Drosophila melanogaster: one gene and its partners. The main gene of each other region encodes a partner of the protein of the gene in region 3 in a complex. Each region holds a gene or a part of one and is shown on either strand. Other genes may lie near its edges. The genes, in order: Arp2, Arp3 and Arpc2.

The links.
Region 1: Arpc2 (region 3) and Arp2 share a complex: the UniProt entries of both Drosophila melanogaster proteins name them as parts of the arp2/3 complex.
Region 2: Arpc2 (region 3) and Arp3 share a complex: the UniProt entries of both Drosophila melanogaster proteins name them as parts of the arp2/3 complex.

The regions. Positions count from the first base shown.
Region 1 is NC_004354.4:16,548,162-16,556,098, reverse strand, and holds Arp2 (Actin-related protein 2), read left to right. Parts: upstream 1-2,147; 5' UTR 2,148-2,707; coding exon 2,708-2,755; intron 2,756-3,648; coding exon 3,649-3,759; intron 3,760-4,609; coding exon 4,610-4,624; intron 4,625-5,633; coding exon 5,634-5,849; intron 5,850-5,912; coding exon 5,913-6,122; intron 6,123-6,192; coding exon 6,193-6,621; intron 6,622-6,686; coding exon 6,687-6,857; 3' UTR 6,858-7,314; downstream 7,315-7,937. UniProt on the Drosophila melanogaster protein: Functions as ATP-binding component of the Arp2/3 complex which is involved in regulation of actin polymerization and together with an activating nucleation-promoting factor (NPF) mediates the formation of branched actin networks.
Region 2 is NT_037436.4:8,112,490-8,117,908, forward strand, and holds Arp3 (Actin-related protein 3), read right to left. Parts: upstream 3,414-5,419; 5' UTR 3,237-3,413; coding exon 3,193-3,236; intron 3,100-3,192; coding exon 2,919-3,099; intron 2,856-2,918; coding exon 2,541-2,855; intron 2,305-2,540; coding exon 1,768-2,304; intron 1,708-1,767; coding exon 1,624-1,707; intron 1,563-1,623; coding exon 1,467-1,562; 3' UTR 918-1,466; downstream 1-917. Other genes in the region: Nulp1 (nuclear localized protein 1), read left to right, coding at 5-225, 523-683; msk (moleskin), read left to right, coding at 3,951-4,040, 4,816-5,051, 5,107-5,419. UniProt on the Drosophila melanogaster protein: Functions as ATP-binding component of the Arp2/3 complex which is involved in regulation of actin polymerization and together with an activating nucleation-promoting factor (NPF) mediates the formation of branched actin networks.
Region 3 is NT_033779.5:20,415,009-20,423,335, forward strand, and holds Arpc2 (Actin-related protein 2/3 complex, subunit 2), read left to right. Parts: upstream 1-2,048; 5' UTR 2,049-2,585; coding exon 2,586-2,659; intron 2,660-3,339; exon of another isoform or gene 3,340-3,473; intron 3,474-3,514; exon of another isoform or gene 3,515-3,646; intron 3,647-3,661; exon of another isoform or gene 3,662-3,796; intron 3,797-3,825; exon of another isoform or gene 3,826-3,959; intron 3,960-3,988; exon of another isoform or gene 3,989-4,125; intron 4,126-4,136; exon of another isoform or gene 4,137-4,273; intron 4,274-4,294; exon of another isoform or gene 4,295-4,422; intron 4,423-4,447; exon of another isoform or gene 4,448-4,577; intron 4,578-4,617; exon of another isoform or gene 4,618-4,748; intron 4,749-4,765; exon of another isoform or gene 4,766-4,900; intron 4,901-4,923; exon of another isoform or gene 4,924-5,057; intron 5,058-5,310; coding exon 5,311-5,404; intron 5,405-5,481; coding exon 5,482-5,581; intron 5,582-5,639; coding exon 5,640-5,826; intron 5,827-5,888; coding exon 5,889-6,109; intron 6,110-6,142; exon of another isoform or gene 6,143-6,266; intron 6,267-6,295; exon of another isoform or gene 6,296-6,430; intron 6,431-6,466; exon of another isoform or gene 6,467-6,592; intron 6,593-6,608; and 13 more. Other genes in the region: CG10949 (uncharacterized protein), read right to left, coding at 260-1,098, 1,156-1,696; CG15130 (uncharacterized protein), read right to left, coding at 8,177-8,265. UniProt on the Drosophila melanogaster protein: Functions as actin-binding component of the Arp2/3 complex which is involved in regulation of actin polymerization and together with an activating nucleation-promoting factor (NPF) mediates the formation of branched actin networks.

The DNA of each region.
Region 1 (7,937 bases), on a different chromosome or scaffold from region 3:
AATGATGGCAATCAAGTTCTCAATTTGCGCCTACACCTCTTCCCAAAAACCGATGATATCAGCTTCTCCTTTATCACTAATCACAACCACTATCAATGCGAAATCAAAAGCTATAAGATATACCACATACATACTCACGCAAGAAATGCCTTCATCGAGATCATATTATCCACGAACCAAGAATATTAACGCTGTACTTTTGCTTCGACTCTTCAACCACCAATAATTGCATTGAACTCTAATCTAAATATTTATACAGATATATATATATATTATATACCGAGTTGGCATTGGAAAACAGTTAGTTTTAGTGATCTATGCACGTATCGTAACAATACCAAGATTAATTAAATCGTAGCTAAAAGAAACAAATCAAGGATGAGGCGGCAGTCGCAGAGTTTCCCTCTTAGCTTTTATAAAAAAAAAAAAGATGGAGAAATGGAAACAACTTACTCAACTAATTGAGAGATACACCATATTTATATAGATATATATATAGCGTTTTTTTTTTTTGTTAATCCTCCACCACAACTATATAATTATTGAAAGTTGATGAAAGCTGTTGGGCCGTTTAAGTTTCAGAGTTTCTGTTCTATATGTGGTTAAAATTGTTAATGTTGTTACACCGCAAATGCATACTTAGTTAGTTAGTCGAGTGAAATGGGAGTTCCCCCAAATCACATTTAATTGCAATAGTCTCGAGTATTGAACGCCAAGAACACCAATTCCATAGAATGATTGTATACACTCAGAAAATCAATCGGCATTTATGTTCGAAAATCGCCGCAAATATTTTCAACAAGTATGGGTTTTTACGGATTTAAAATAATGAAATTGAAAACTAAATTCCATATTGTTAGGCTATAAACAAATGTTTCTATTGATGGACAACATTTCAGGTATAATTTTTGAAAAACAACAAATATTTATTTCAATTGTTAATACCAAAATACGCATAGGTCAACAATTAAGTTTTAATTTTTTTTTTTTAATATAGTTTAATTATCAAAGAACTATACATTTTAAGCCATTAAACGTAGGCAATATTCAGATAATTTTCTGAAATAAATTAATTGTAAATTTTGGATTCTCTTAGGGCGATTTGCATTCCGAGTGTATCAAGAGCCATGGTAAATAATAAAGCTAAGAAGTATTAATAATTCTACACTATGTATGACTAACAATACATTTGCTTAGTTCCCTCGATAAAGAAAGTACATAACTATTGCATGAGGCATAGGCAAAACTTCCTGGCACATAGTAAAAGTAAATAATTGAATAGAACGGCTGAGGAGGAGATGAGTAGATTTTGATAATATGTACGTCAAGACCATGCCAACATACTTATGGGAACTATTTAAAAAGCATTAAAACGTTCAATATAACACATAATACCCAGACAAAAGCAGAATCAAAAAATGCGGGAACGAGACGGCTGCATGGTATATACATACATATATAAGACATTTCGCCTCTTAAAGCAATTATAAAGATAACAAATGAGTAACGTTTATTATATTATTAAATTATACATACATATACATACTATATAAACGGAATAAAATAAATCAGCAACAAACTTTCCATTTTATGGCGTTCGATCACTTAACTTTTTATCCTTGGGAGCAGTATTGTCAAGTTATCATTTTTCTTCTTAATTGCTTAAATTACAATTCTTTAAATACATGCATGTATTCAATGATGGCGCCAAATTTTGAACCTGTTTTAAGTCTTAATTCAAGAATATTTTTCCAAGTATGAGAGTGAACGAGAGGCAAGAGCGCAAACGAAAAATACCAGAAATCAATGTGAGTATTTTGAAATTTCAGCAATTGCCGAATTGGTTTTTCAAATAGATGTGATTAGTTGTTAAATTGCCAAATCTTTAATCCAATAATTTAATTAATAAAGTCTTAATTGAATTGAAATTGTTTTGTGTAAATCCTGTGCAAGTAACATATATTACTAATAAACTTGTATTTTTTAATCTTTTTTAAATTGTTAAAAGTGGCACACAGACTAGTAAACTTAATTAACAAATTTGTAAAATAATAAAAAAATATAATTGGATCTAGTATCTAAACGGTTCTGGTATTTATTTTCGGTGTTTTGTACGCTTCAGTCCAACGCCGATAGTATCGAATATGCATCTATTTTTATTCAACTCTGGGGAGTAACGAGGGAGTTTTTGTACAGCAGTATAACTAAATTATAAGTATAAATAGTCGATAGCGGCAAACTGTTTCGGCCTAAATTTAATTGCGAGTCTAAATTAAGAGTTCAATTCCCAATAACCGCCAAACGAAGCGGCGATAAACGTAAGCGATAGAGTGGCGAAGAGAGCAAGGTTCCCGCCCGCGTGTTGTGAGAGTGTGCGAGTGGAAGAGGAAAGTGTATGATTAAGTACAATCGCTCTCCGGCGGTCCAAATACAAAAAAAGCCGAAAAGGAATCAATTAACAGTAGTGCTCAACAAACGGCCCAGGAAGTCAACAGGAAAGGCGATTGATGTGCAATATTTTGTTTGGTTTTATCGAGCAGAGGCGCTGCGAGCTGTGATTTCAAACCGAATCACAACCAACACCCAAAAAGGCAACCTGGTCGCGTCATCAGTGGAAGTGGAAAGGCAGTTGCCACAGCAGAGGCAGAAGCAACGGGAGTAGCAGAAGCAGTGGTTTTCCAGAGATCCGGTTTTGAGTCCTTCAAGCATGGACAGCAAGGGTCGAAATGTTATCGTCTGTGATAACGGCACTGGGGTAAGATAACGGGAAAGTCACCACCCGCACCGCCCACATCACCCACAAGCGGTGAAAACAGAGCGCACACACCCACACCATCACCAACGACTGGTGTGTGACACACATTTCGAGTGTTGTTGGCTGCGCTTCTTTCGTTTTCTTCTTCTTGTGGACTAAGCAGCGCTTCTGCTGCTGCTGCTTATTTCACTGCTTGCTGGCCAGCGGGCGTTGACGTCGCGGTTAGTCAAGCAGTTGCAGCAGTTGCAATTACGCGATTGCCTCTTCCTCTCCTTTATATTCCGCTTCCCCACTCTTCTTCTTGCTCTCCGCTTGACTAATCAGTGGATTACTCACGATTCCAGCGTTACTCAGTATCTCCCACACCTACATATTTGTCGAAAGAGCGACACTGGCACACACCAACACTTCCATAAAATTTCCGACAATCAGTTCTTATCGCAGGCCCAGAATTTTTGTATTGTGATAACGGTCCGATTTCGATAAGCGTCCGATAAACCACAACAGTAAAAGCGCAAGCAAATGCTGCACCGAGAAAAATGATTTAGCTGGTCCTAAACCAAATAATCAAAACTAATTCAAAAATTTTTGTTTTGTGATAACGGTCCGAATTCGATAAGTCACAGCAGTAAAAACGCAAGGAAATGCTGCACCGGGAAAAATGATATAGCTGGTCTTAAACAAAATGATTAAAAATAATTATTTATTATTATTATGTGCAATTTTTAAGTACCTGTTGATACAAAAGCATTTTAAATTATCATATTACGTGTTAGGGCTTAACTCAAATAATAATATATGTACATATGTCGGCTGTCATATTATTTTAATGTGTTTCCACATACACCATAATATAAATATATGTATTTATGACATCTCCATTTATTTTTCAGTTCGTTAAGTGCGGATATGCCGGCAGCAATTTCCCCACCCACATTTTTCCCTCGATGGTGGGACGACCCATGATTCGGGCGGTCAACAAAATCGGCGATATCGAAGTCAAGGTATGATCCATCGTACTTACCAATTAAAGTATCTAAAATTAATTAACAATATGATGAGATAGTACAACCATATACACTACACAAATTCAATTGTGCACAGGCCATCAAATACACGAATATCCATATATTATATCATTTTTTTTTTCGATGTAACTACTCCATGACTAGTTAAACGGCAAGAAATACATTTAGCGCATAGAAGTTCACTATCCACCAAATTACCCACCATATTTTTTCACCCCTAACCCATCTGATTTTGGAGTGGAATTGCTCTATTTTCTATTCTGTCTATTAGTGTCGCATATCTACTTACTTCTATATAATTTGTTTTCGATCTACCCCATTCGCATATCGTTTCATTTACCATCTTGATTTCATCACTTCTGGGGGTCACTTATCCCAATATTGCATTTTTGCTTGAGTTGCATTGGTCTCGGTGTGTGGGCCCTCATATTATTATACACATGCATACAAAATATATAAATATATATTATGGTAAATATATCATGCTAAAAGTTGGTCCGTGGATATCTGATTTTAACCAAGGTTTAGGCATAGCTTAATAAACTGTGGATATGGAGGCTGAACCCCGCAGACATTAAGCTTTTTTTTTTTTTGAGTGCATCACTTGATTTTCGATATATAGATCTTACTTAGAAGTTCTTTACTTTAGACAGAAGAAACATCAAATTAAGAATCATTAAGAACACATCTTGAATAGCAATAAAAAAAAAAACGATACAGAAAATAAATATTTTTAAAATTGTAATCTTTCTGTTCTTTTTTAATATTCTTATACATTTTTCTGTTCTTTTTTTCACATATATTTTTAAAAACAAATGTTTTGCAGGATTTACATGTCGATGTAAGTCAAGTTTGTATAGTTAAAAAAAAAACCAAAATCCAAACTACCACTACCAGAAATCTAATCACCAAGTAAACATAAAATAATAAAAATTTGTATACGATTGACACAATACGAAAATACCAAAAACCAAAATAACACACGCTTGGCAAAATATTGCGAAATTTTTTTGAAGTTCAAGCTGCGCACTTAGGATTTAATTAATTAATTAACTTAACTGTTAACTGTTCACATTTTTCACTAGTTGTTTGCCTTGAATATTTTCCCAACTATATTCCGGCCCCGTCCAACTATCTTGTTGCTTCCTTTTGGCCATCATCTATAATTGTACTCCATCCACAAAATCGACAAAATCCACAATCGAAAAAAAAAAATTAAAAAAAAAAACAAATCTATTAATTCTCATATCGGATAAATCTGAGGCGTGTTTAAAACCGAATTCCAATCGAATCTGTTCAATTTAACGACAAATTTACGTAAATATAATTTTTGTTATTTAAGTTTTACTCCTATGTTTTCATACCATTTGTTTCCTAGCTTACACCCTTTGGTTTTTTTTGTACATATCTTAAGGCAACCAAATTCAGTTGCTTCTCGTTTTAATTGTGATTTGCTGATTTGAAATTGTTATGTGTTCTCGTCTGCATGATGTCCTGTGTCTGCTTAGCCCTATTTTAATCCCCCGTTTGTTTTGCACGTCCCTGTGTTTGCCAGTGTTCCGGAAAGGCAAGTCCTTTTCCGCAACTACTCACACTCACTGCTGCCTCTTGTTAATCGTTGATTGTTTAGACGAGTTTAGTTGCATTCTTGTAGTGTGCTCGCTGTTATTGTGCCTAACACCTGTGTATGTCTCCCACACTAATGACTAACCATCCCAGCCTCTAAGCAAATACCCAACCAATCAACCATCCAACCAACCAAACAGTCCAAACCAATCCGAATCCCAATGGCTATCCATTGACCAAGCCACGGACACTAACGCTGCGTCCTCTGACGAACGAATTTACAGGATCTGATGGTCGGCGATGAGGCCTCACAGCTGCGATCCCTGCTGGAGGTCTCCTATCCGATGGAGAACGGTGTGGTGCGCAACTGGGACGACATGTGCCACGTGTGGGACTACACGTTCGGTCCCAAAAAGATGGACATCGATCCGACGAACACAAAAATCCTGCTAACCGAGCCGCCCATGAATCCCACAAAGAATCGCGAGAAGATGATTGAGGTGAGGTCATACCATATTTTAAAATCCCACTTCAAACTAACATTGTTGTGTTTGTGTTCACAGGTGATGTTCGAGAAATATGGCTTCGATTCGGCGTACATTGCCATCCAGGCCGTGCTGACGCTATATGCCCAGGGTCTGATCTCTGGCGTGGTGATCGATTCGGGCGATGGTGTAACGCATATATGTCCCGTCTACGAGGAGTTTGCCCTGCCCCATCTGACGCGACGATTGGACATTGCCGGTCGGGATATCACTCGCTATTTGATTAAGGTTGCTTTGCCTTACAATTACATATAGCCAAACTGTGACTTATACTTTCGCATCTATCTATGATCATTAGTTACTGTTACTACGTGGCTACGCTTTCAATCATTCCGCCGACTTCGAAACGGTTCGCATAATGAAGGAGAAGCTCTGCTACATTGGCTACGACATCGAGATGGAGCAGCGTTTGGCCCTGGAGACGACGGTGCTGGTGGAATCGTACACGCTACCCGACGGTCGTGTTATCAAGGTCGGTGGCGAGAGATTTGAGGCGCCAGAGGCTCTGTTCCAGCCGCATTTGATCAACGTCGAGGGACCGGGCATTGCGGAACTGGCCTTCAACACCATCCAGGCGGCAGACATCGACATACGGCCCGAACTCTACAAGCACATAGTTCTGTCCGGCGGCTCCACCATGTATCCGGGTCTTCCCAGTCGGCTGGAGCGTGAGATCAAACAGCTGTACCTGGAGCGGGTACTCAAGAACGATACGGAAAAGCTGGCGGTAAGTTGTCAAGTAAAGCTAATCAATGCACATCGTGTTTAACAAATTGAACGATTACATTGCAGAAATTCAAAATACGCATTGAGGATCCACCGCGACGCAAGGATATGGTCTTTATCGGCGGAGCTGTTCTGGCGGAGGTGACAAAGGATCGCGACGGCTTCTGGATGTCCAAGCAGGAGTATCAGGAACAGGGTCTCAAAGTATTGCAAAAGCTGCAAAAGATCAGTCACTAGAGGCGGATGGATGCGAAATCAGTGTGTGTGTGTGTGCGGACCGCAAGAAATAGGATAAAAAAGTGATAGATTTCTTTTCTCTATTTTCTATAGGTTTAAACCTTTCAGATTTACGTGATATATCCGTCTATATATGTTTTTTTTTTTGTGTGTGCCTGTGCGAGTGGGCGTGTCTGTTGAGCAGGATTGGTCCACTTGCCCTTAGATTATCTATAATCGCAGACATGTCGTCACTGGTCGTTATCCCCGTACAATATAATGTAATATTTCTTTGAGCGCGAAAACTTTAATTCGATAGTCGCCTAAATTGTGTAACCCTGCATTAGTGTGTTTAATTGTTTATAATTACGTCTAAAATTCAAACCCAAAAGCCCTTTTCTTTAATGAATACGCATATATAACTATATATATATACATATATAAATTCAAAGCACCTCGAGTGCGGCGATATTTTTGTAAACGCAAAATGTTTCATTTCCAGCGAGTATTTCACATTAAGTATTAACTAGGCCAAGTCTGCTAGTAGCAGCTACTAAAATCGTGTGTGTGTTAAGACAGAGACAGAGACAGAGGAAATATAACGAGGAAGTTGCATAGCACAGAAGGAGAAAGCGCGAGTTCGGTCGTTAACTAAATACACTGATTGATTCGATCCCGTCTCGCCTCCCGACACTCGACCTTAAAGTAAGCATTTCTGGATTGTCTCCAACTAGATAAAGATGAAGTTACCTACCCATAAAGATACAGATAATCGAAGTCACAAGATTACGCATTTACGTTGCCCCATAATCGAAAGTACCATCAGTCGAAGTGTTAAATTTGATTTAATTTCCTTACCTGCCTTTTCTAGTTAGTTGCAATTTGATGATTGTTGGGGTCGCAACTATCGGCATATGATGAATAGTATATACATATACATATGTGTGATCCATATACATATATCCGTATATGTAAAATGAATGTGGAATGCCAATTATGTAAGTGAATGCAATAAACGTAATTATGTATGATGTGTACTGTATACTGTAGTCTAAAACTAAATCGCATACGACTTTTTTATGGTTTTTTTTTTGCCAAATT
Region 2 (5,419 bases), on a different chromosome or scaffold from region 3:
GCAGAAAATCTTCGTCAAGCAGCAGCCCCACAACGAACACGAACAATTCTGTGTCAATGTTCTTTCAATCGCTCTTGCCTTCGTTTAACATTAACAACCTAGCTGCAAATGCTCAGCTACAAGAAGGAGCAGCACCAGCAGCAGGTGCGGGAGCAGCTGCAGGCGATGCTAACATTGAAGTGGGCATTGAACAAGGAGCTGCCGGCGTAGCTGGCGAAGGAGAAGGTTCGTATGAGCATTATTAAAAATATCTTGAGATAAAACCGATTTTGTCGCCCCCGTTTCGTCACAGAGCATGAATCTTAGAATATGTTTCGCTGGTTGTATTATGGCTTTGCTTAATTTCGTTCATATCCCGAAATTGTATTAAAGCTTTGGCTTTTGTTTCAATAACTTGGCTAAAAGCGATATTTTGTTTCTCATTCTTAAAATCGTCAAAAATCTAACCTAAAATTATGCTGAAATTCCAAAAGAATCGCTAGCGGATATCGTAGTTACACTTCTCCTCCAACATTATTGCAGAAGCTGGTTTGCAGCAGTCATTAACGCTAATGATGGACGCGATGCGAGACTTCCTGCAAAACTTCCGGATTGCAGAGCACTTGCGTTCGCCGGAAACGGCGGCGGCACAATCCACGAGCAGCAACGACGAGGAGGAGGGCTCCAGTGACTACATTGACTAGTCAGTTTGTCAATTACGCGAGGCGTAACGAAGTTGTTTCGGATTTCTAGCTCGGGACATGTTTTTTGGAAACCACCTTTTGCTATTTTCTCAGCTTAGCGACACCGTCACAAAATTTATATATACAATACATAGAGCAATTTGAACACAAAAAAATATATATATGTAACTTATGCATTGAATAAAATTTTCCAGTAAAAGCTTTAGATCGAAAGCGACGAAAGTGTTTGAGCTTAAAGAATGTTTTATTGATTTATTTAATGCCTTTTTAATTACGCTTATCAATATAACAAACAGATTTCTCATCAATATTTCTTTTCGTTTTTCCTTTTTTGTTCATTCAGTGTTTGAATTGGTTGCAGTTATTGCAATTATAAATATTTCTATGACAAGTAGAGCGTTTTCGTATTTAATTGTGTATAGAGCCGGGATTTCTCCAAGAGCTTAGATCGGTGTGACTGTGTGTGATCGTGTTTGAGTATGGTATAAAAGTCGACTTCTAGAAATAATGCACCTTAGATAGGGGGTTGAACTGGCAGACATCGGAGTTGTTGCTTTATAGTTAGCCTAACAAAATCACACGAAATTAAACAGAACGAAACTGATTTACACAGAGTTAATAGCTAAACACATATAGAAAAGAATAATTACTAATACTTTAGCGTGGAATACCGAATCGCAATGTATATATATATATATATAGTTGGAGAATAAATCAATAAATCAATTTTAAATGGAAAAATAAATCAAAAATAACTGCTGCAAGCCGATTGGATCGGATCAATTATGTCATGGTGCCAAAGACGGGATTGTGACGGCAAATGCTGGGGCCATACTCCTCGTAGGCAGCCTTCGTGTGACACACCTGATAGAACTCGGGCTAGAAATGGGAAGAATATTGAGATAAAGGATTTTACGGATCTTAGGCCACTATAACTTACCGTTGAAGCCAACATGCTGCCTCCAAACCACACGGCGTACCTCTGCATGTGGTGCGTAATCACCTGAACATCAATGGGTTTTGGCTGTAACAAAAATAATCAAAGTAAGAAGTATGACTCATTAGCAGCTGTGATATCACCCACCTTAATGCGTCCCTCGGACAAATTCTCGCTGATCCGGAGACGTGTGTCCACCGATCGCTTGATATCTCGCTGCAACCTCCTGCCGAAGTCCTTGAACATCGTTGATCCACCGCTCAGAACAATGTTATTGTATAGAGGACGCCGCACATCGATTGGGCAGTTTTGGATGACATTATCCACTATTTCCGACAGTGGAATGGTAAAGTCGGGGTTTGAGAACTCGGGATGGAAGAAGATCTCGGGTCCCAGGAATCGCTCGTAGCCCACGTCCACATTGAACGGCGCCTTGGTTACCGTGTTAACGCCGCTAAAGTTGCGTATCCACTTGCCCGGCTCCGTGTCGTACTTGGCAAATTCTTTGGCGATATCGGGACAGATGTAGCAGTGCTTCTCCTTGATCGCTTTAGCAGTCTCGAGGCTCTGTTCCGGCGGAATGCCCACCTCCCGTTCGCGTAGCAGGCTCTGGATGAACGAGGTGATATTGCGGCCCGCGATGGGAATGTGCTTGATGCAGGAGCCGATCACATAGCCCTCGGCCTAGAAATGAAAAACAGCTTAATATATTTATATGGTTATAACTAATACGCTATTTTATCTTAATAATTCCCTCTTAATATAACATTCTGTAGTATTAATAATAGCCTCAGAATGTGCTATTTATTTATTAAATAAATCCGTCGACTGTTTCGGTTTTGGGTTCTCTTTTCAAACAGTTTTTACCGAATCCAGTGCCAACCCAACTCTGCTGATAAGATAAGATCTGTGCTACTTACCACGGGTATGACGTGCGTCACTCCATCGCCGCTGTCCACCACGATGCCTGTAAGGGTACGCTCCTCTGCGGACCGGGAGGCCCAACTGGCGGCTAGGGCAAGCACCGCCTGGACGGCGATATACAGACCAGGAACGTTGAACGTCTCAAACATTATCTCCGCGGTGTACTCCCGATTTTCGGGCGTATTTAGCGGCGGCTCAGTCAGCAGGAAGTAGTGATCCTCAGGCTCGGCGCGCAGATACTTAAAGACGCACTGCTCCAGAAAGCGCTCCATCAAGTCCCAGTCCTCCACCAGACCATGACGCACCGGATACTATTGGAATGCAATGATAAATGTGATGTCGGTTGCTTAATGACCATAGATACAAGAGCATACCTTGATGGAGTAGCCGGTGGCATCGAAGGCCTCATCGCCGATGAAGAAGTCCAGGTCCTCGATGCCCTTTGTGATGCGCCGTGTGTTGGTGTCTCCCACTCGTGCCGACTCCTTGATGGCAATCGCCGAGGGAATAATGAACTGCGGCTCTTTATTCCCGGCAAATCCCAGTTTGGAGTAGCTGATGGATGTGCAGACAAGCAGAGTGTTAGTCAGTCGACCTCCTTTCCGTCCAATTGGAGACCCCCACGGGCAATCGAAACTAAAAACTCACCCGGTGCCCACATCGATTACGCATGCCGGTAGCCTGCCTGCCATGGTCGCTGCTCGTCCTTTTGCCTTGCTGCCAGTTAAAGCTCTTCAGTTGCGATCTTCGCTCGCCTTTAACACAAATTTCCCTTCGTTTCAGTTGCAGATAAACCCAGATTTCTATATATTTTCAACCACACCTCCAACTATGTGTCACTTTGCTCTTCGTCACACACACATTCGCGTGTTCACGTACGAGCAGCTGCCAGGGCTGCAACAATCGATTGGCCATGCAACTTGAATGGCAATTTATCGGGAATTGTGAAAAGTCGCTGTTTTTTAAGCCTTTAAATATAGTTACCTTATGAAGCAAGTGGTCTATATATAAATGGTGCCTAGATTTTCCGCAGCGAAGGCTTTTCAATATTGCTCGAATTTTTGGCTAAACTGTTACCGGCGAACATAATGCAGCCCTGTAGGGCCCCATACACTGCGGCGTTAGTCAACACACACAGGCGCTGTTTCTTCTTCTTCTAAGCTTCGTTCGTCTCGCGAATTTCGGCGGTGTGTGTGTGCGTGTGTGGAGTCTTTTCCACGTTTTTTCCTCCGGAAAAAGAGATTTGCAATTTGGCCCACACATTGGAGCCACTGGTTCGGCTAGCATAAACCAAGGTCTATATAAAGGCAAGAACAGCGGGTGCACAGTGGGCACAAGGTGACCGCCAAACGACGAAGTGCAGCAGAAAGACCGGCGAAACATAGAATCAAGCAAAAGTAGCAAAAATGGAGGCACAAAAACTCACGGAACTGTTGCGCGCAACTATTGATCCGAATCCGGAACAGCGCAAGGCGGCCGAGGATCAACTGGCCCAGGTGAGTTTGCTCCCAAAAATAAACGCCTGCACTTGAATTCGAAAGGTCTTTGGAGGTGGCGCCATCGCCTGAAAACCATGTGCTTTTTTAATTGTTCGCTTTTAACCTCCCTCGCTCCCGCACTTCATCACTCTGGTCGTTGTACAAGTGTGTGGGTGTGGATAGTGTAATCCGATATCGGTCAAAAAGTTTGCCCTTTATGTGTTTACCATTATCCCGACTTCTATGTTGTTGCCCCAGAGGCAACAAGTCGATATCTTTGGGGCACCTACATATGTATGTATGCTATATATATTTCTATATGTGTACATATTTATTGCGAGTTTCGTGTGATTCTTCGGAAATCCACTGAATTGTTAATAAATATTTAATTGAGACTTTCGAAATATCGCCGGAATGCCCTTTGATTGAAGCTTACGCAATTCCCTTGGAAATAAATGTGGGCAATCAGAGCGGCCAGTCTAATTAGACCCCACCCCACTAACCAATTGCTTTGGCCCCACTGTAGAGGCATGCTCATTACGACTGAGTCAGCATCTAACGATTTGCATGCCCCTCCCAATCGCCTCCCACCAACCCCCCTGTTGTCAATTAACTTTATCAGCGCTTATGGCCAGCAGTTGTTCTTGGCTCCTCCATATTAATTGAGCTCTGTGAACGGAATTTAAAGTGCTTCTGCCATTGATTCTTTGACCAATTCAAATTTAACCCAACCCCAAACAGCTGTGTAAACATATCCATTCTATTTTATTTCTATACATTAAAATCCCCACAGATACACAAAATCATCGGATTTGTGCCCACCATACTGCAGATCGTTATGCAGACGACGGTGGAACAGCCGGTGCGCCAGGCCGGTGCTGTCTACCTCAAGAATCTGATCAACAGCAGCTGGTCGGACCACGAGGCCAAGCCTGGAGAGCCAATACCCTTCTCTATACACGAACAGGATCGGGCTATGATCCGTGGCGCTATTGTAGATGCTATTGTGCACGCCCCCGAGTTGATTAGGTGGGTAAATCCATTGAAAATCCTTTCCAGGGGGCTAATTTCGTTCTGTACACAGGGTCCAGTTGTCTGTCTGCGTCAATCACATCATTAAAAGCGATTTCCCTGGACGCTGGCCACAGGTGGTGGATAGCATCAGCATATATCTGCAAAACCAGGATGTCAACGGCTGGAACGGAGCTCTGGTAACCATGTACCAGCTGGTCAAGACCTACGAGTACAAGCGGCATGAGGAGAGGACGCCGCTAAACGAGGCAATGAACCTACTGTTGCCCATGATCTACCAGCTGATGGTCCGACTGCTGGCAGAGCAGTCCGAGCAATCTGTGCTGCTACAAAAGCAAATTCTCAAGATCTACTATGCCCTCACG
Region 3 (8,327 bases):
TTTGAATAATTCAGCGCCCTCTGGTGGCGGGTAGCGTTTGATGGCGATGGTTGTGGTTACGCATTTCAATGCTTTTCAGCACTGGTAATTTAAACAACTCAATTTGAAATCTACAAATATTCAAACCTTTCTTTTTCAATATTGCCTTTTGAGCCACAATATTTAGTAAGTTTATTTATTTACAGATATTTTCATGCTTACACTTATGTAATAACCCTTCTTCGTAATACTTTTGCAGCTAATCTACAACATTCTAATTTCAGTTAATGACCTGACAAGGTGCCACATCCTCGATCTCCTCGCCATCGAGGGCTTTGATTTGGCACTGGCACAGGAACTGCACGATCTTACGCTCGGCACTTGCCCGCTCAGACGGACTCAGTCCGTCCAGCAGCATCTGAGCCTTGGCAAGCAGGCTGTTGGCAGGCTGTGTACTTCGCTGTTCTCGCTCCTGCTCCTGTTCGTGGTGAATCTGGGCCTGCAGCTCCCGGGATTGCTGAAGCACGGTCTCCATGTTGGCAATCACGGTGGTCAACAGTTTGTCGGAGATGGCGGCAGACGGTACAGAGTCCCCAGGGAGAGAGGAGGACTCCTCTACGACGGGATTTACCCTGGCGATTGTGTGAATTATTTCCTCACTGGTGGCCGGCGTGGTGGTGGTCACCTGGAGCTGCTGTGGTGGCTCCAAGTCCTGCCGTGCCGTCGCTTCGCTGAGGATAAAATCGTACGGCGTTGCTTGCTCCGCCTCCGATAGTATCTCAATCTCTTCATCGTAGGCCAACTCAAGATCATCCTCCAGATCGTCGTTGTCCGTACTGTAGGGGTAATCAGCGCCCCAGATTTGCTCACCACTGGAGATCACCATTCCCTCCGGCTGTTTGCTGGTCTTTCCCGAAGGATTTCCTGCTTTGGGTGGTCGTCCACGTCGCTTGATGTTCTCCAAAACCAGGGGCACTCCTTTGCGGAAGTGGCGGCCCAGAAAGAGAAGGTCGTTAAAGTACCTCCACGTGATGGGCGTGGACTGGTTGATCTGATGACTGCGGAACTCCCGCCCGAAACGATCACGCAGCTTCTTCCAGCGGTTGTAGCAAAGTTCCTCTATTGAAAATTATCGGCATTAAGGGCTGAAGATCAAGAGGGTTACCCCGAGCTCACCCGACACATTTAGGTTTTCAGAAATCTCTCGCCAGGCTTCGTTTTTCGCTGCTAGGTTCTTGGAGACTCTGATCTTGTGACGATCATACAGCACGGGATGAGACTTGACCAGCTCAATGAGCTGCTCGTTCAGCAGGTCATCCTGGGAGTCCTCCTCCTCCTCGTCCTTTCTCCGCCTCTCCTGCTCCATGTCCACTTTTGTGCGCTTTTTCCGCTCCCTGGGCTCAAAACGCATCCCGTCGAGACTCTCGTTCCTTGCCAGTCCCTGTTTGTAGTGATCCTTGAGAAAGAGCAGTCGCGGAAACATGTCCCAGTAGGTGGGCTCATCCGGACGCTCCTGGAAACGGCGAAACTCCTTGCCGAAACGATCGCGAATGCTCTTCCAGCGCGTAATGCACGCCCGTTCCGAGGCTCCTAACTTCTGGGAGATGGCCTTCCAGGCCGCGTCCTTTTGCGCCGCATTCTTCACGCTCCTCGCGCAGTCCTTGTCGTACAGGATCGGGTGTCTCTCTATCAATTTAATCAGCTCATCGTCGTCCATTGATTTTCGCTATTATTTGTTTTTATTTATTCTGAACGATCCGGCAGCCTGGCGGGAAATATTGATAGTCGATAGGCGATGGGTCATCGCACAAAAAGGGCTGCCAGATTATTCTGTTAAAAAAATGTGCCTCTTAGTTTTATAGCACCGTTATTATAACAATGTTAAATAAAATATTTGTGTGTTTGTCTTAAAATGTCTTAATACATATTTATAATTTAAAGTTCGTGTGTACGAATTTCGTTTAAAATATATTCTATTTTATATATTTTAAAGAAAATTCTCTTTATGTTTGTTAAAATCTGCTGGTTTGAATTTCTGTGTAACCTGATAACATTGATGGTCGATAGCTCGATACTTCAATCTTTCCATCGGTGAGTTTGCCCCATCTCTATTGTGCTACCTGGCAACGCTGTGAGCAAGGAAAATACGGCAGCGTGCTCCCCGTTTTCCATCCACGTTTTGTTATAATTTTATAAGTATTACGGTCTGAGACCGATTTTGCACTGCATCGTGCGCGCTGCAAGTACTGGCGATTGGAAATTGGAGGCGCGAAAAGAGGATAAGGTGGATTTTCTTGCAACTGTGTGTGTGAGCATTGGAATTCGCCCGTGTGTGTGGCGAGAGTGCGTCCATGTGTGTGTGACGGACCAAAAAAGCCGACATCAGCGCCCATTTTTTGTTGTTGATTCATTAATACGCCCGTCATGCACCAGTATTGGTGAGTTGGAGCAGCGCACCGTCTTACTCGCACTCAACGGAGCGCAGAAAGAGCGCAGGGAGCGGCAGAAGAAGAAGCAGCGAGCAGCAGCACCATTAGCGGCAGTCAACGTCATATAATTTGTCATCGAAATTGGCACACTAAAAATAACAGTTAACTTCAACCGCCATGATCCTGCTGGAAATCAATAATCGGATTATCGAGGAGACGCTGCTGGTCAAATACCGTAATGCCCAGGCTGGGTAAGTCAATGCCTTCCAGTCCCGTTTCCCCAATTTCCATTCCACCATTTTGATTTCTATGCTGCATTCCCCACCGTTCTGTTATCACCAGTCGGCTTTGTTATCAATTTCGTTAGCTCTCTCTTTCCTCGGGAATAAATTTGGGTGTAGTTCCAGCCTTGGAACACTCATCGCTGCAGCTCTCTCCCTCCCACACACGTACCCAAGTACAGTGCAGCCCCCTTACGTCGACAGCGTATTAGTTAATTCATTACAACTCGCTATTCGCATCATCGGTGCTGAAAATCTGCAAAACTGACTCATCCATTGACGTGCATTCAAACGCATACGCTTGTGATGATCGAAAATATTAGTATTTATTTGTTCCTAATCCCGAAAAAGGATATTATTATTGAAGAAACATTATCAAAGGAGTCGTGTTACGAAAGAAATATGTTTAAGCTAAACGGTTTAGAAGAAGCTTAGACGAAGCTTACAGACTAACAAAATTATTAAAATTAGTAAAATAACTTATTGTACTAACAGCACTATCAGCAGAAAGAGGTATTTGTGTTTGGTAGCGAATGATTAAGATCTCACATAAATAAATGTATTTAAATGCTAATAGTTATGATGCCATTAGTTTATTCCCGATAAGATTGCAGTGTAATGCCTGAAATTAAGGCAATAAAAGTTATAAATTGTGGAACAAAAGTGGCATACTTGGAAAAAATCTCCTGTTGTGTCTCAAATGTTCCAAAATAAACCAAAAGGACGAACGGCATCCTGAATAATCAATCATATTATAGCAGATGACTTGTGTTCGTGTACATAAAAACTAATAGTTTCAATATTACTCCCCTATTATCTGTATTCTTGGGAGACAAAGTTTACATGCTAAAGATTCTCCATTTTCCGTGTCTACAACGCTCCGATATAAATTGTAACGCTTAAATCATCTTGAGTAATTCTTTTTGTTTCTTAAGATAAATACTTTCGTGTACATTATTGCAAATTTTAGGCTTTGGAGCCAAAGTGGCATTCTTCAAAAACAATATTTGATCTGTGTCTCAAAAGCTCCAACATTAACTAGAAAGACGAACGGCATCCTGAATAATCAATCATATTATAACAGATGACTTGTGTTCGTGTACATTTGCCATAAAATGTTCAACTTTTGTAATATTCTGGAGTCAAAGTGGCACGTCTTACGATCTTCCTGTAACTTGTGTCTCAAATGCTCCAATATCAAACGAAAGGACGAACGGCATCCTGAATAATCAATCATATTATAGCAGATGACTTGTGTTCGACTACAATAGTATTCGATTTATTAGACCAATAATGCCTCGGGAGACAAAGTTTACATGTTGAAGATGATGTGGCTTCTTTTTCGTGTCTACAATGCTCCAAAATAAATTGTTCGTTTAAATCGTCTTATTCGATTTATTTTATTGCCTAAGATGGTTGCCAACTGCACAACAACTAATTAAATATTTGGGTGGAGTTAAAGTGGCATATTTTATAGCTTTCCTTTGATCTGTGTCTCTATCGCTCCAATATCAATTTTATAAGCGAACGGCATCCTGTTTAATTACTTATATTAAGACAGACGACTTGTGTTCGTGCACAACTTCAAAATGCTTCAATAGTCATATGGAGAAAAAGTTTACATGCTAAAGTATTTTTCTTTTCCGTGTCTACAATGCTCCAATATTAATTGAACGTCTAAATCATCTTGGATATAATTATATTTCCATAGATAAATACATTCGTTCACAATACATTCGTTGTTCATATGAAAATGGATTGGAGTCAAAGTGGCACACTTAATCCATTTTTATTTGTGTCTCAAATGCTCCAATATCAAATGCAAAGGCGAACGGCATCCTGAATAATTATGCATATTATAACAGATGACTTGTGTTCGCCTACAATAGCTCCTGATAGCTTTACATTCCTTTATAAGACTCCCGTCTTCGGAGACAAAGTTTACATGCTAAGGATAAGATCTTTTTCGTGTCTACAATGCTCCAAGAGCAAATGTTCGTTTAAATCATCCTTGGCATTCAATATTTTTGCTGTGGATGCATTTAATTCGTGCACATATTTATAGATATGTATGTCGTGGAGGTAAAGTGGCATTCTCGGGATATATAAACCTGCCTGTGTCTCAAACACTCCCAAATCAACTTGGTTGGCGAACGGCATCCTGAGTAATTAATAATATTACATCAGATGACTTGAGTTCGCGCACAATCGCTTTAAGATCGCAAAGTACGATTTAGGAGCCAAAGTGGCATGCCTTGGAACTTTTATCCAATTTGTGTCTCTAATGCTCCGATACTAATTATACAAACGAACGGCATCCTGTTTGATCCTACATATCACAATAGATGACTTGAGTTCGTGTACATTATTCAGAAATATTTGTTTAGTTCTTGTAATTGAATTAAACTAAATTTAGATATCGGCTTAGCGATCCAGATACAAATACATACGGATGTTTTAATTTATTCGAAAACGCAAAATATAATTTTATTGCTGCTGGTTTCTTTTGGAAAAATAATCGGGTATAAACGAGTTTATGTGATAAGATACGGTGGAGTGTGGGGAGCATGACTAATAAGCAAGAAAATAAATGAGAATTTACTTTTTAATTCTCTTTCCAGACTGAAGCCTGAATCGATAGACATACGAATAGCAGACTTCGACGGCGTCCTTTATCACATTTCCAATGTGAATGGCGATAAAACAAAAGTTCGGGTAAGTGTACCGCGTACTATTCATTTAGGATAAATCCAACATTAACGATTTCTCACTTTTCTTGGGCTGCGAAACAGATCAGCATATCGCTGAAGTTCTACAAACAGCTGCAAGAACATGGAGCCGACGAGTTGCTGAAGCGTGAATATGGCAGTCTGCTTACAGACACGGAAGAAGGTACGTTCGTGTTTAAGTTCGGCATTTAAAGAAGTTAATTACTCTCGTCTAATTGCAGGCTACAATGTTTCCGTACTTATCAACCTGGAGGAGATTCCCGAGGACTGCGAGCAAATCGCAAAGAGAATCGGACTGCTGAAGCGCAACTGTTTCGCATCGGTTTTTGAAAAGTATTTTGACTATCAGGAGCAGGGCGAAGAGGGCCAAAAGCGTGCCGTCATTAACTACCGCAACGATGAGACTTTGTAAGTCAGAAAAATATGTTTTTGACTCGTCCAAGCGCTGACAATCTACAATCGATTTGCAGATATGTGGAAGCCAAGCCTGATCGTGTCACCGTCGTCTTTAGTACCATTTTCCGGGACGAAGACGATGTCATTATCGGCAAAGTATTTATGCAGGAATTGAGGGAAGGTCGGCGTGCCTCGCACACCGCACCACAAGTGCTCTTTTCGCACCGAGAACCACCATTGGAATTGGCCAACACGGACGCTAGGGTGGGCGACAACATTGGCTATGTCACATTCGGTATGTTAAAGGTTGAATGGTAAACCATGTGCTGTGGAGCCAAAGTTTACACGTTAAAGTGCATTTGTCTTTTCCATGTCTACAAGGCTCCATATAAATAGTATCGTTAAAATCATCTTGAACATTCTAGTTTATAAATATATCCAATGATAAATACTTCCGCGCACAATAATGCATTAAAGTCACCTGTGGAGTCAAAGTGGCATGTTTTAAATTACAATTTGAATTGTGTCTCAAATGCTCCAATATCAACAAGATATGCGAACGGCATCCTGAATAATCAATCATATTATAGCAGATGACTTGTGTTTGTGTACAGTAACACACCAACCCAGAATCCCCAAGCTGAATTGTTCAGTGGAGACAAAGTTTACATTTTAACAGTATTATCGTTTTTATGTCTACAATGCTCCGAAATCAATATCCGATCCAATTATCCAAAGCAGTCTTATATTTCCTTGGATGATTTCTTTCGTTACAAAAATGTCAGTATATTCCATATGGAGTTAAAGTGGCATATTTTTAATACTTACCCTAAATCTGTGTCTCTAAAGCTCCAATATTAAATAAATAGACAATCGGCATCCTGAATAATCAATCATATTATAGCAGATGACTTGTGTTTGTGTACAGTAAAAGAATATCTTAGACTGCCTTTTTTAAATGGAGACAAAGTTTACATGTTAACAATATTATCGTTTTCGTGTCTACAATGCTCCAAAATCAATATATTCGATCGAATCATCCGAAGCAGTCTTATATTTCCTTGGATGATTTCTTTGGTGCACAGTGCACAGCTAATGTAATCCCAATGGAGTTAAAGTGGCATATTTTGTATACCTTCCTTCAATTTGTGTCTCTAATGCTCCAATATTAAATAAGTAGACGAACGGCATCCTGAATAATCAATCATATTATCGCAGATGACTTGTGTTTGTGTACAGTACTTCTTAGAATTGAACCGATGTTACACTTTGAAATATCCAAAAGAAACAAAATAGTAACGACTCATACTTGTTTTTTGCAGTACTCTTCCCTCGGCATACCAACAAAGAAACAAGGGACAATACCATTAACTTAATTCACATGTTCCGAGATTACTTGCACTACCACATTAAGGTAAGTGTTGTATGCAGCTATGCAAAAATATCTTTTATATATTTGAAATATGCATTTTTGAGCAGTGTTCAAAGGCTTACATTCATTCGCGCATGCGAGCAAAAACCTCGGATTTCCTCAAGGTGCTAAATCGTGCAAGGCCAGAGCCCAAAAACACGGAGAAGAAAACTATAACGTGAGCATTGGACTTTCCATAACGAATTCTGATTACTAACTCGTGTTCTTTTTGCAGGGGGAGAACTTTCAAGCGCATCGATTGATGTGTTCAGTATATTTAGTTGTTTTTATATAAATACAAAAAATAAATTGTGTATTAAAATTCGATATCCGAATGGTGAATCCAACATAAACTAAACCAGATTGCAAGACAAACCCAAGTATTCCAAACAGAACCGTAAGGCTAAATGTAAGCTCAGCAAAATAATGATCAAAGAATTAATAGTTACGCGTTAGTAAATGAATTGTGTGTGTTTGTGTCGAGTCATCGTCAAATCCGTGTCTCCGCCAATTTGTTACAGTCATAGGCCGAGTCAGCGCCACAGCTGAGCCGCATTTTAAACAAATAAACGTAGACTTAAGTGCAACATGAGAACTAAAACTACCATGTCAAAGCGAGCAACACGACTAAGGGATGCCACCAACTTGTTATATAGTCGCAATGGAGGATTCATCCCCGCAATTAGCCTGTATGTGTAGAAAGCGCATTTAAAAACGTACTGCAAATATTAACAAACCTTTGATACAGCAATCGGAATTAATAAAAACGAGAAAATCAAACTGCAATGTAAAATAAAAAAAGGGACACTCTTTTAATCTCTAGCTAGCTGCAGACGCTCGAATACACTTTATTTTCTAGCTTATTAGCTTTTAATTGCACATAATGTCTTAAATGTTACTAATATTTCGCTTAGGTATACCATCTCCGCTGCACAATACTATAACAGGCACTTAGATCTTAAACTTAACATTCTGCTTCGCGTTCATGCTCTCCATGCTGACCTGGAAGTTGAGATAGTCGCTCTGGATGCGGGCACACACTGAAAGAAATGTGTTGGGTAAACTAAGTTGGGACTGAGGAGCGCTTTGACTGTTACTATTG